Sus scrofa: one gene and its partner. The protein of the gene in region 1 interacts with the protein of each later gene in a pairwise test. Links are inferred from orthologs where the notes say so. Each region holds a gene or a part of one and is shown on either strand. Other genes may lie near its edges.

Region 1 (6,052 bases):
GTCACCCGCAGCAAGGAAGGTGCCCTTGGCTCCCCACCCCTTCCCAGAGCAGGCCCAGGGGTGTGTGAAGTGGGTCCGGAAGAGGTGCGTTATTCATGTAAGGCCATAAAACCCAGGGCTGACTGATTTTTTTAAAATGACTTTCTAAATGAATATTTAGAAAAGGGGGGGAAGTCTATTTCTGCCATATTTCCCCCACCCCTCATCTCCTGCCATTGCTATCCCAGAAGTCTGAGGATATAGAAGTGTGACCAGAGAGCTCTTTTCTTTCTAGGATTTGTTTTTTCTTTTTCTTTTTTCCTTTTTTTTTTTTTTTTTTTTTGCTTTTTAGGGCCACATTTGTGGCATGTGGAGGTTCCCAGGCTAGAAGTTGAATCGGAGCTATAGCTGCCGGTCTACGCCACAGCCATGGCAACGCCAGATCCGAGCCATGTCTTCCGACCTACACCACAGCTCACGGCAATGCCAGGATCCTAAACCCACTGAGCGGGGCCAGGAGCGAACCCGCAACCTCATGGTTCCTAGTCAGATTCCTTTCCGCTGCGCCACGATGGGATCGCCTCATTCCAGGATTTGAATCTCAGTTCCCAACTCAGCAGCCATGTGTCCCAGGACAAGTTACCAAACTTCTGAGCTTCATCTGTAAAATGGGAATAGTTGTAAAATACCAATCCAGAAGGTTGAGAAGATTAAATGAGAGACCTACCTAAGGGCAGTTAGCACTATGCCTGGCAGGTAAAATTCCCTAAATAAGTGTTAGTTATTCTTATGAGGCAATTATGGAGTGCCTCCTACACTTGATGCCTAGCCTTTGAGGAGATCTAGCATGGAACACGGACTTGTAAATCGAAAGATTACAATACAATGGGTAATACAACAGGTAGAACCATAAGAGAGATAACCTGGGAGTTCTAACACCTGGAGACTGTTAAAAGTTTTACACAGGGTAGCAGCACACTCAGAGCTATAATTGAGAAAAATACAACTTGGCAGATGTGTGCTATGCAATTAGGGGCAGCAAGACTATAGAATACCAGAGACAGGCTGTCATAGGAATACAGATATAGATATGGAATATAGAGATAGCAGTGATCGTGACGGCAGGGAGAGTAGAGGATATCCAAGGCCAGACTTAGAGAATCTGGGCAGATGACTTGAAAGCCTCAACAGAGAGGACTCCATATGTCTCCTTGACTTGGCACACTCTGGTCCCTTTGTCTTGAATGCTTTTCCCCAACTGCCATTCAATATTCAGCTCAAGCCACTGGGAAGTACTCTTGGGTTCCTCTAAAGCATGGATTAGGGGGCCCTGCTCTATGTTCCTAGAGCCCCTTGTCCTTACCCCCATCAAATGGCTTGGCATCCCTTCGTCATGGCCTGTTTCCTGGTTCCTCCCACGGGGTCTGAGAATTCCCCGAGGGAAGGGCCCAGCCTAGATGACCTCTGCGACCGAAAGGCAAACGTGGTGTCAACTGTTTGCTGAATGAATCAGTGAAAACAAGAGCTTAACAGATCTGAAAATATTCAGAAAATATTCGTCTCAGGGAACTCAGGCCCTGAGGCCACATCACCTTTTCTACTCCAATTCTGTCTCCTAGTTGCTGCCCAGAAGCACCGGGCCTTCCAGGAAATTGAAGCCTGGACTAGCCAGAACCGCGTGGCCAACAGCGCACAGACAAACTTCTGCGGACTGCTAGTTGAGGCCCCGCCCCTCGGCCCTAGACGCCGCCTCTCCACTCTCTGCAGTCCCTGTCCCCACCAGGCGGCGACGCCCAAGAGTCCGCATGCGCAGTGAGCGCGCGAGCCGCCCCTTGCCCTTCTCCCAATGGCGGGCGGCAGTCCCCTTCCCGGCATCCTCCCGGAGGCAGGGAGTACGTCATTTCCGGTGGGGAAGGCCCGCGGCCGCCGCCGCCATTTCAGGCGCTGCTGTGAAGCGGAGACCCGAGCCGGTCCGCTGGGCGGCGGGCGCCGGGACTGGAGGGGCGCGCGCGGCGGCGGCGGCCCAGCGTGTAGGCGCGGAGTCGGCCATGGCGGGCAACTTCGACTCGGAGGAGCGGAGTAGCTGGTACTGGGGGCGGCTGAGCCGGCAGGAGGCGGTGGCGCTGTTGCAGGGCCAGCGGCACGGGGTGTTCCTGGTGCGGGACTCGAGCACCAGCCCCGGGGACTATGTGCTCAGCGTCTCCGAGAACTCGCGCGTCTCCCACTACATCATCAACAGCAGCGGCCCGCGCCCGCCAGTGCCACCGTCGCCCGCCCAGCCTCCGCCCGGTGAGGGACGGAAGGGACGGGAGGCCCCGGGCGGGGGTTAGGGCCGCCGAACTCCCCAGCCTAGCCGGCTGCTCCTCGAGAGCTGACCCCCACGAGGGACTTGGGCAGCGGGCTGGAGTGACCGTGGCCGGAGGGCAGCCCGCTGTCCGGCTCGCTCCCACGGACGAGCGGGAGTGTGTGGGGGAGGAGGAGCCGCTGACCCAGGCCTCTGGGTGTGACTTGGGAGGACAGCCCAGGGGAAGGGGAACTGTTTCGGCCCCAGGGTGGGGCTAGCGCCCGTGCAGGGCCAGGCAACGTGGGGACAAAGAGCTGAGGGGGATGTTGGCACTGCGGGGGCATCACTTGGCAGCGGTGCCCGGAATGAATCCGATAATCCTACAAGTGGCTTTTTAGGCTTGAAACATTTCCTGCAGTGTTGGAGAGCCGGGTTTGGCTATACTCCCCTGGTGGCCTTTGGTAGGAAGTCACCGCATACCGGCCGGGAGGGATGGAGACACCCTCAGGAAACCGGTCAGCTTTTTCCTTTCTTGGGCATTTTTCCAAAATACTTTTACCGTCCTCTTCCCCCGCGGAGGACGAAGGTGGTGAGCTAAGTGCCTTGGTTATAGAAGAAAGGTCCCCTGTCACCAGCCCAGAATAAGCTGATGCCCGGCTGACTGTGCCGAGGAGATCCTGGTGTCCAGCGACTGTCTTTGACAATTAAGGGGTTGTAGTTTTCAAAGCGAATAGTGGAGGAAAGAATTTTTTTTTTTTTCAGGAAATAAACCAGATATACGCCAATGGAAACAATCCCTTCCCTGAAAGTGAATGGAACTTCATTTTTCCTTGGACTTCAGCATTGTCAGTCTTATACTGCAGGGTCTCTCCTTGCTCAGTAGGTTGGGGGTTGTTGCCTGAATTTTCCTAGATATGTCTGTCTTATACATAACATGGGCTGTTTGGGGAGTGTGAAGAGGATTTATGCACTTGGTACTTGAAGTTTGTGAGGTACAGAGTAATTCTGAGGCTGTTGTTACCTGTGTAACAGCACCTAGGGTCTTAGTGCCTTTTCACGCTCACCAAGCTGAAGCAGTTTCCTCCTGACCAGTTGAAACTAGATTCAGGCTAGTCTCACATGAATTGAAAGTCTCCTGAACTAGCCCTTTGCAGACTTGCCCTTTTAGAATAATCCTAATTTAGATTTATCCCCTCTGACCCGAAATGGGAAGATGAAATAGTTTCTCTTGTTAACACATACCAATTTTAAAAAGAGTGTGGAATCTTTAAGCCCACAAATTATCCTAGGTCTTTCTCAGTCTGATTGGTTTTATAACATTATAACCTGAGATGGGAATAGGTATGTAACATGTATTTACCCTAAACCGGATGTATTCGAGTTTTTACCACCTTCCTAGTGTCTGGGGTTTTGCGTTGCTGGGCAGTGACACAGCAAATGATCATTGGAACTCAATTCTTGACCTTTTGTTTGTGTATGTGTTTTGTTGGTTACAAAATTTGGAAATGGCAGGCAGTTTTGTTTGAGCTTTCCCCACATCTTGGTGTTAGAACTTTAATCTCAGATCTTACCTTAATACTGAGCTCCACCTTTTCATAACAGATAGGAGGTCAGATCCTTGGCCCAAGAGAGAAGGTGAAGATTGCCAGAGTTTGTGGATGGGGTGTGGAAAGTTCATGGCTATTGTAATTGTTCTTTCCGCCATGTACCCATTTTCCACATAGGGCAATTGATTCAGTTGCGTCTTTTTAAAGATTACTTAATCTTTGTTCTGCCCAGCCCCCATTGAGCTCTTTTTCTTTGGAAACCACACAGAAGAATTTCTTGAACTTAAGCATATACAATATTAATAGCTAACATTTATCGACTGGTCATTCTGTGCCAGGTACTTTGCTGAGTACTTTAGTGCCTTGTCTCGTTTACTGTCTATGACAGTCTAGTGAGGAAATTACTGTGATTTCCATTTATTAAAATATTTACATTTTAGGGAGTTCCAGTTGTGGCTAAGTGGATTACAAACCCTACTGGTATCCATGAGGATGCAAGTTTGATATCTGGCCTTGCTCAGTGGGTTAAGGGTCTGGCTTTGCCATGAGCTGTGGAGTAGGTCTTATTTGTGACTCAGATCCCTAGTTGCAGTGGCTGTGGCATAGGCCAGTGGCTACAGCTCTGATTTGACCCCTAGTCTGGGAACTTCCTATGCTGGGGGTGCAGCCCTAAAAAGCAAACAAAACAAAGCAAAATTCCATTTTGCAGGTAAAGAAACAGGGTCAGAAATTCAGTAACTTGCCCCAGGTCACACAGCTAGTCAATGACTGAGCCGGAATTGGAACCTAGGAATTGTGACCTGAGATCAGACACTATTGGACTGTGTTCTTTTTTTTGTCAAAGCCAGTTTCCTTTTGAGATCCCTTGAGGACTGAACACTTTTGTCATTGTCTTGGGTCCCAGGTTCTGCTTAAAGACCAAAAGGAAAGGATGACAAGAAAATGGCCTTCAAGAGTTCCCGTTGTGGTGCAGTGGTATCTATGAGGATTTGGGTTCAGTCCCTGGCCTTGCTCAGTGAGCTGGGCATCTGGCGTTGCCATGAACTGTGGTGTGGGTCGCAGAGGTGGCTCCGATCCCACGTGGCTGTGGCGTAGGCCGGCAGCTATAGCTCCAATTAGAACCCCTAGCCTGGGAACTTCCATATGCTGCGGTTGCAGCTCTAAAAAGCAAAAAAAAAAAAAAAGAAAAAGAAAGAAAGAAGATGGCATCTGCTGTCTAAAGTCAGTGATGCTGAGGCTTTTAATAACCTTTTTTGGCAGATTGAATGTGGGAAATAAGCTTTTTGTTTAGGATTATATAATGTATTTTGTGGATATAGGCATAAGATGAATTTGGATGGAATGTCTTAGATAGAGATTTTAGAGGCATAGGAACAGAATAGGCCAGGAATTCTCAACCTTTTCCTGTAAACCCATTTTTAGCTTAACTGTTTAGCTCTCCCAGGCTATCAGTGCTGCCATCGCCTGGAGGTGCCCTTACTGCTCCAGGGCCAAAGGGCAGGGCTTGGTCAAGTCTACTGGTTATACTCTGCAGGTGTACTTCTTAGGAAGGTTTTGCAATCATTGATTGATCCACTAGTTTCTTTCTTGTGGAACATGAGGTTTTTACTAGACCTTGTCCAGTAGACAATCAATAAAACTGAGTTAAGTATGAGTTAGGAGAGTAGCTAAAAGCTCGTACTCTGAAGCCCGGTTTGAACCTTCTTTGCTTGCTGCTTACTACTTAATATGACTTTGGGCAAGTTCTTTAACTTCTCTCTGCCTCAGTTTCCTCATCTGTGATGAAAGAGAGGAAATAGTAATACTGACCTCATAGGGTAGTGGTGAGGATTTTAGTGCATTACATGCTTAGGAATGGAATTAGCATGTAGTAAGTACTCAGTAAGCATTATGTGTATTAATTTATGTGGTTGAGGGGGAGGAGTTGAAGCAAAATGGGAAACTGTCCTCCTTTGAGAGGCTTGCAGCACGACTGAAGAAGTAAGTGAAGAATCCAGTACATGGAAGTAGGATGACATCTGTTACCTGCTCAACCCAGAGCTACCCACCTGTTGTCCTAGGCGTGAGGGGAGCATAAAAGCTTGCCTCATTTTGGGGTCGGGTGCAGAAGCTAGGGTGGTAATTGTTGGTGTTGGGCCAAGCCACCTCTGGAGATCCTAGGGGACTGCTCATTACCCACTGCTGCCTTTTTGTGCCTTCAGCATCTGTTTCATTTGTTTACCTCATCTTTGTAGTTCTCAAA
Region 2 (5,363 bases), on another chromosome or scaffold:
AATAATTCTTTAGTTTTCTTTAAAGGTATCTCTGGGATCTTAATCTGTTTTTTCCTGTTTACTTGATTATCATTCTAAAATTACTTCACAAATATAGAAATTGGTTTATAAGAAGAATAATAATCCAAGTAACTGATACTTAAATGGATACAAGTGTTTCTATAAAATGTTTTTTTTTTTCCTTGAACTTGAACTTTTGGGTTTTATTGAGTTTATACATTACTTTTTAGGGGGAGGCAATGTGGATAGTTTCTTTTGCTTTTCTTCTAAAATTAAAATGACAGGAATGTTTATATTTTAAGGATTTTTTTCTAAGTCAGGTGCATAATTTTTCATTTATACTTAGAAAAATGAGAGTCGTCAACTCACTCAGATCCAGTATATAGCCTGGCCTGACCATGGGGTCCCTGATGATTCAAGTGACTTTCTGGATTTTGTTTGTCATGTACGAAATAAGAGGGCCGGCAAGGAAGAACCTATTGTTGTTCATTGCAGGTATTTTATTTTCTGTCTTTTATGATTAACTGACTAAAATATGTCTCTTTTTTCTTTTTGACTGCCCCTGCAGCATACAGACGTTCCCGGGCCATGGATCAAACCTGAACCACAGCAGTGACAACACCAGATCCTTAACCTGCTGAGCCACACAGGAGTTCCTACATACATCGTTTTTTGTAAAAGGAATACCTCTTTTATTTTTTCTTTAAGCTGTTGTTGTCACTCTAATAATTAGAGAGAACTCAGAGTTATGCTCTGAAGGTAGGAGGCAAAGGGTATGTTTTAACATATGATTGGCAGGAATTTTATCATGAGTAAAAATAATACCACATTGACTCTTAGAAGTTTGTCTTTTTTATAGTTCAACATCTCTGAAATTGAGTTACGTCTTAAAATTAATGGTATCTCAGATTTGATGAAATACAAAATTGTAGGAATTTGGTTGCTGTCCAAAGTTTATATTTCTCCCTCCAGCAAGGTACTCCTTCCTGGCCCCTTTTAGGACATTTGGTGAGCATCTCACCTGTCTTGAAATGGCTCTGCCCAGTGCCATCACAGGGTCTGCCACTTCCAAGAGCTCCCAGTGAACAGTAGCAGACCACTCCCTTCCTTGCAGACTCAGGCCTCCTTCTGCCCCCAATGGACCAAATACAATGACTCTAGCCTTACTGCCACTGACCCAGAGATTGAGATCCAGAAATTACTTTCTCCTCATCCTGATCACCTTTATTACTAAGTGCTTTATTCAGAGGATGTATTAAGGTATCTGCTTATTCTTAAACTTTCCAACACTTTTTAAGAGCAGATTGTAGACCAAATATATGAGAGGCAAAATGCAGGAATGGTGGACACATTTGGCCATTTCATATCCTTAGTCCCCGTCGCTACTGTATCCACCTTCACAGAGAATACTTCACAGAGTTGTTCTTAACTATCTCAGTGGTAAATCAAAATTAAATTTGGCTTTAAAAACTGATTTTTTGAGTGTGTAAAATAGCTGTCTTTTGCATGCTTGTTAATGATTTATTATTGTAATTCTTACTTTGCATTTTAAAGCTTCTGTACTTTGTTCACCTTTTAAAAACTGAAATGTAACTCTTTTAAAATTGTGTTTTAAAACCAAGAGTGGGAGAGAGTGTAGATACAAACCATTTAATCTGTATTTAGTGTGAATTTTATTTTGGTTTTCAAAATAGTTTCCAGTTGGCTTGCTACTTTTGTTACTCTAAAATATTAAAACTAAATAATTCTTCTACCATAATATGATTTGGTACTCTAATTTTCTTCACAAAAAGCACAAGAAGTTTAACAGAACAGTATGAGTAAGATTTTGTCCCACATTTGTCTTTTCTAGTGCTGGTATTGGAAGAACTGGGGTTCTTATTACTATGGAAACAGCCATGTGTCTCATTGAATGCAATCAACCAGTTTATCCACTAGATATTGTAAGAACAATGAGAGATCAGCGAGCCATGATGATTCAAACACCTGTAAGTACTACATATTTCTTTTTTTTTTTTTTTTTTGTCTTTTTGCCATTTCTTGGGCCGCTCCTGCGACATATGGAGGTTCCCGGGCTAGGGGTCGAATCTGAGCTGTAGCCGCCAGCCTACGCCAGAGCCACAGCAACGCAGGATCCAAGCCGCGTCTGTGACCTACACCACAGCTCACGGCAACGCCAGAACCTTGACCCACTGAGCAAGGGCAGGGATCGAACCCGAAACTCATGGTTCCTAGTCGGATTCGTTAACCACTGCGCCACGACGGGAACTCCGGTACTACATATTTCACATGCATTTCACATGTGTTTTCAACATGACTTTTGTTGTCAATGTATATGCCAAACCACATTTTTCTCTTTTTAATTCCCTGCCAGAAGCTAATAACCCCATGGAGTTCCCGTCGTGGCGCAGTGGTTAACGAATCCGACTAGGAACCATGAGGTTGCGGGTTCGATCCCTGCCCTTGCTCAGTGGGTTAACGATCCGGCGTTGCCGTGAGCTGTGGTGTAGGTTGCAGACGCGGCTCAGATCCCGCGTTGCTGTGGCTCTGGCGTAGGCCGGTGGCTACAGCTCCAATTCAACCCCTAGCCTGGGAACCTCCATATGCCGCGGGAGCGGCCCAAGAAATAGCAACAACAACAACAACAAAAGACAAAAAAAAAAAAAAAAAAAAGAAGCTAATAACCCTTGCACAGAGATCAGCCAATACTGCCCACCAGCCGAAACTGGCCTACCACTTGTTGTGTTTTGTTTTGTTTTGTTTTTTTTGTCTTTTTGTCTTTTGTTGTTGTTGTTGTTGTTGCTGCTATTGCTATTTCTTGGGCCGCTCCCGCGGCATATGGAGGTTCCCAGGCTAGGGGTCCAATCGGAGCTGTAGCCACCGGCCTACGCCAGAGCCACAGCAACGCGGGATCCGAGCCACGTCTGCAACCTACACCACAGCTCATGGCAACGCCGGATCGTTAACCCACTGAGCAAGGGCAGGGACCGAACCCGCAACCTCATGGTTCCTAGTCGGATTCGTTAACCACTGCGCCACGACGGGAACTCCCCCACTTGTTTTTTAATAAATAAAGTTTTATTGGAAACAGCTATAGTCATTTGTTCACATAATATCTATGTTGCTTTCACATTACAGCAGCCGAGGTGAGAAGTTGCAGCAGGCACTATGTGCTTTGCAAAACCTAAAAAATTAGTTATAGTAAATAAATATTACTCTAACTATAGTAAATAACTGGATAGTAAGTAACTGTCTAGTCTTTTACATAAAATGTTTGTCAACACCATGCTAGCATGTTAATTCTTGACTGCCTAAACAGGGGTAACAGAGGAACTTGCCCTGTGTTATCAGTCAAATGGAATGCTAAGAACAGTGGTATCCCTAAACTGGAGAATCTTGATAGACCTGCTTTCAGTGAAACAGCTGTGGTGAAATTGCCTTTCTTATTTTACATAAGAACTTAAATTGCAACAATAAAAATCATAGAAATTAAGCTACTTACTATATTCTGTACTGACTTTGAAATATGTCCCAAGAATTGGAAGAGGAATCATGAAATTTAGAGTTAATGTTAAAAAAATTTTTTTTAATTTTTCAGGCCATACCCATGGCATATGAAAATACCTGGGCTAGGGGTGCAATCAGAGCTGCAGCTGCCGACCTACACCACAGCCAGAGCAACGTCTGCAACCTACACCACAGGTCACAGCAAAGCTGGATCTTAAATCCACTGAACAAGGCGAGGGATCAAACCCGTATCCTCCTGGATACCAGTCGGGTTGTTCACTGGCCGAACTACATTAGGAACTCCAAGATTGTCTTCTATATTAAGCCAATGTGGAATATTAGCATTGTTGGTGGCATTATGGTTTCTGAAGTGAATTGACATATGTGATCTAATAGGTGCCTGTCATTATTTTTAGCTTTTAATTATAGAAAATACAAACATACACAAAAATAGACAATAAGATATAGTGGACACTACTTTGAATGTTTCCTTTATACTGCCACTTAACTCTCCCCATATTTGAACCAAATCCTAGACATCGTATATATTTTATATTTATTTGTCTATATTTTAATGTTTATCTCCAAAAGAAAAGGAGTATTTTTTCCTTCTAAACAAAACCATAATACCATTATCATACCAAATTATAATTAACAATAATTCCCTAATATTAGCAATAACCAATATTCCAATTTATAATTGTTTCATATAAATCATTTCTTTTAAAATTTTAGTATAGCTTTATTAAAATATAATTCACATACCCATAAAATTCACCCTTTTAAAGTGTACAGTTCATTGGTTTTCACAGTATATCACAGAGCTTTGCAACCATCATTGCTATCTAATTTTAAAACATTTTCAACAGCCCCCAAAAGACACTCTGTATCCATATTCCCCCATACCTTCCCCAGCCTTCCCCTAACCCAGCCTAGACAACTGTTAATCTACTTTCTGTCTCTGTAGGTTTGCCTCTTTTAGACCTTTCATATGAATGGAATCCTATAATTTGTTCTTTTGTAATTGACTTATTTTAATTAGCATACTATTAAAAGGTTTATATATTCCATAGCATATATCAGTACTTCATTCCTTTTTCATTGAATAGATATACCATACATTCATCTATTGATGGACATTTGGATTATTTCCAGTTTCTAACTATTATGAATAATGGTGCCATTAACATTGTGTAATGTTTTTGTGTGAAAATGTTTTCATTCCTCTTTGGTATATACCCAGTAGTGGAATTGCTGGGTGCTATAATAACTCTCTTTAATCTTGTTTCTATAAATTTATTCTTAAGTTTTTTAGTCTTTTTTGGTCCTATTGTAAGTGGACTTGTTTTCTTAATTTCATATTAGGAGTACTCATTGCTTGGGTATAGAAATAAAACTAATTTTGCATATTGATCATGTATACTGCAACCTTGCTGAAATTATTTATTAAGTCTAATAATTTTTTGCATATGTGAAAGATTCCTTAGGATTCTTTATATACAAGATCATATCATTTGTAAATATAGTTTATTATTTCCTTTGCAGCATAGATACCTTGGTTTTCTTTTTTTTTCTTTTCACCTCATTTCATCTTGTCTCATCTCTTTTCTTCATCTTGTGCAAGTGTCCTGACAAGAACCTTCAGTACAGCGTGAAATAGAAGTGGTGATACCAGCCATCCTTGTCTTATTCCTGATCTTAGGGGGGCAGTTTTCTGTTTTTCACCACTAAGTATCATGTTAGCCATGGATTTTTTTCATTATTGCCCTTTATCAAGTTGAGAAAGTTCCCTGTCTTACTAGTTTGTGTTTTCATAAGGAAAGGGTATTCAGTTTTAACAAATACTTGTTCTGTGT

Evidence for each region. The genes of interacting proteins can lie anywhere in the genome.
Region 2: the proteins of CRK (region 1) and PTPN4 interact in binary tests that used the Homo sapiens proteins (3 or more experiments, as listed by UniProt). The link is inferred for Sus scrofa from reciprocal best matches to the Homo sapiens genes CRK and PTPN4.

The regions. Positions count from the first base shown.
Region 1 is NC_010454.4:47,681,455-47,687,506, reverse strand, and holds the start of CRK (adapter molecule crk), read left to right. Parts: upstream 1-2,310; 5' UTR 2,311-3,075; coding exon 3,076-3,142; intron 3,143-6,052. Other genes in the region: uncharacterized protein LOC110255905, read left to right, coding at 1,599-1,795. UniProt on the Homo sapiens protein: Involved in cell branching and adhesion mediated by BCAR1-CRK-RAPGEF1 signaling and activation of RAP1.
Region 2 is NC_010457.5:31,317,049-31,322,411, reverse strand, and holds part of PTPN4 (tyrosine-protein phosphatase non-receptor type 4), read left to right. Parts: intron 1-346; coding exon 347-495; intron 496-1,852; coding exon 1,853-1,988; intron 1,989-5,363. UniProt on the Homo sapiens protein: Phosphatase that plays a role in immunity, learning, synaptic plasticity or cell homeostasis. Regulates neuronal cell homeostasis by protecting neurons against apoptosis.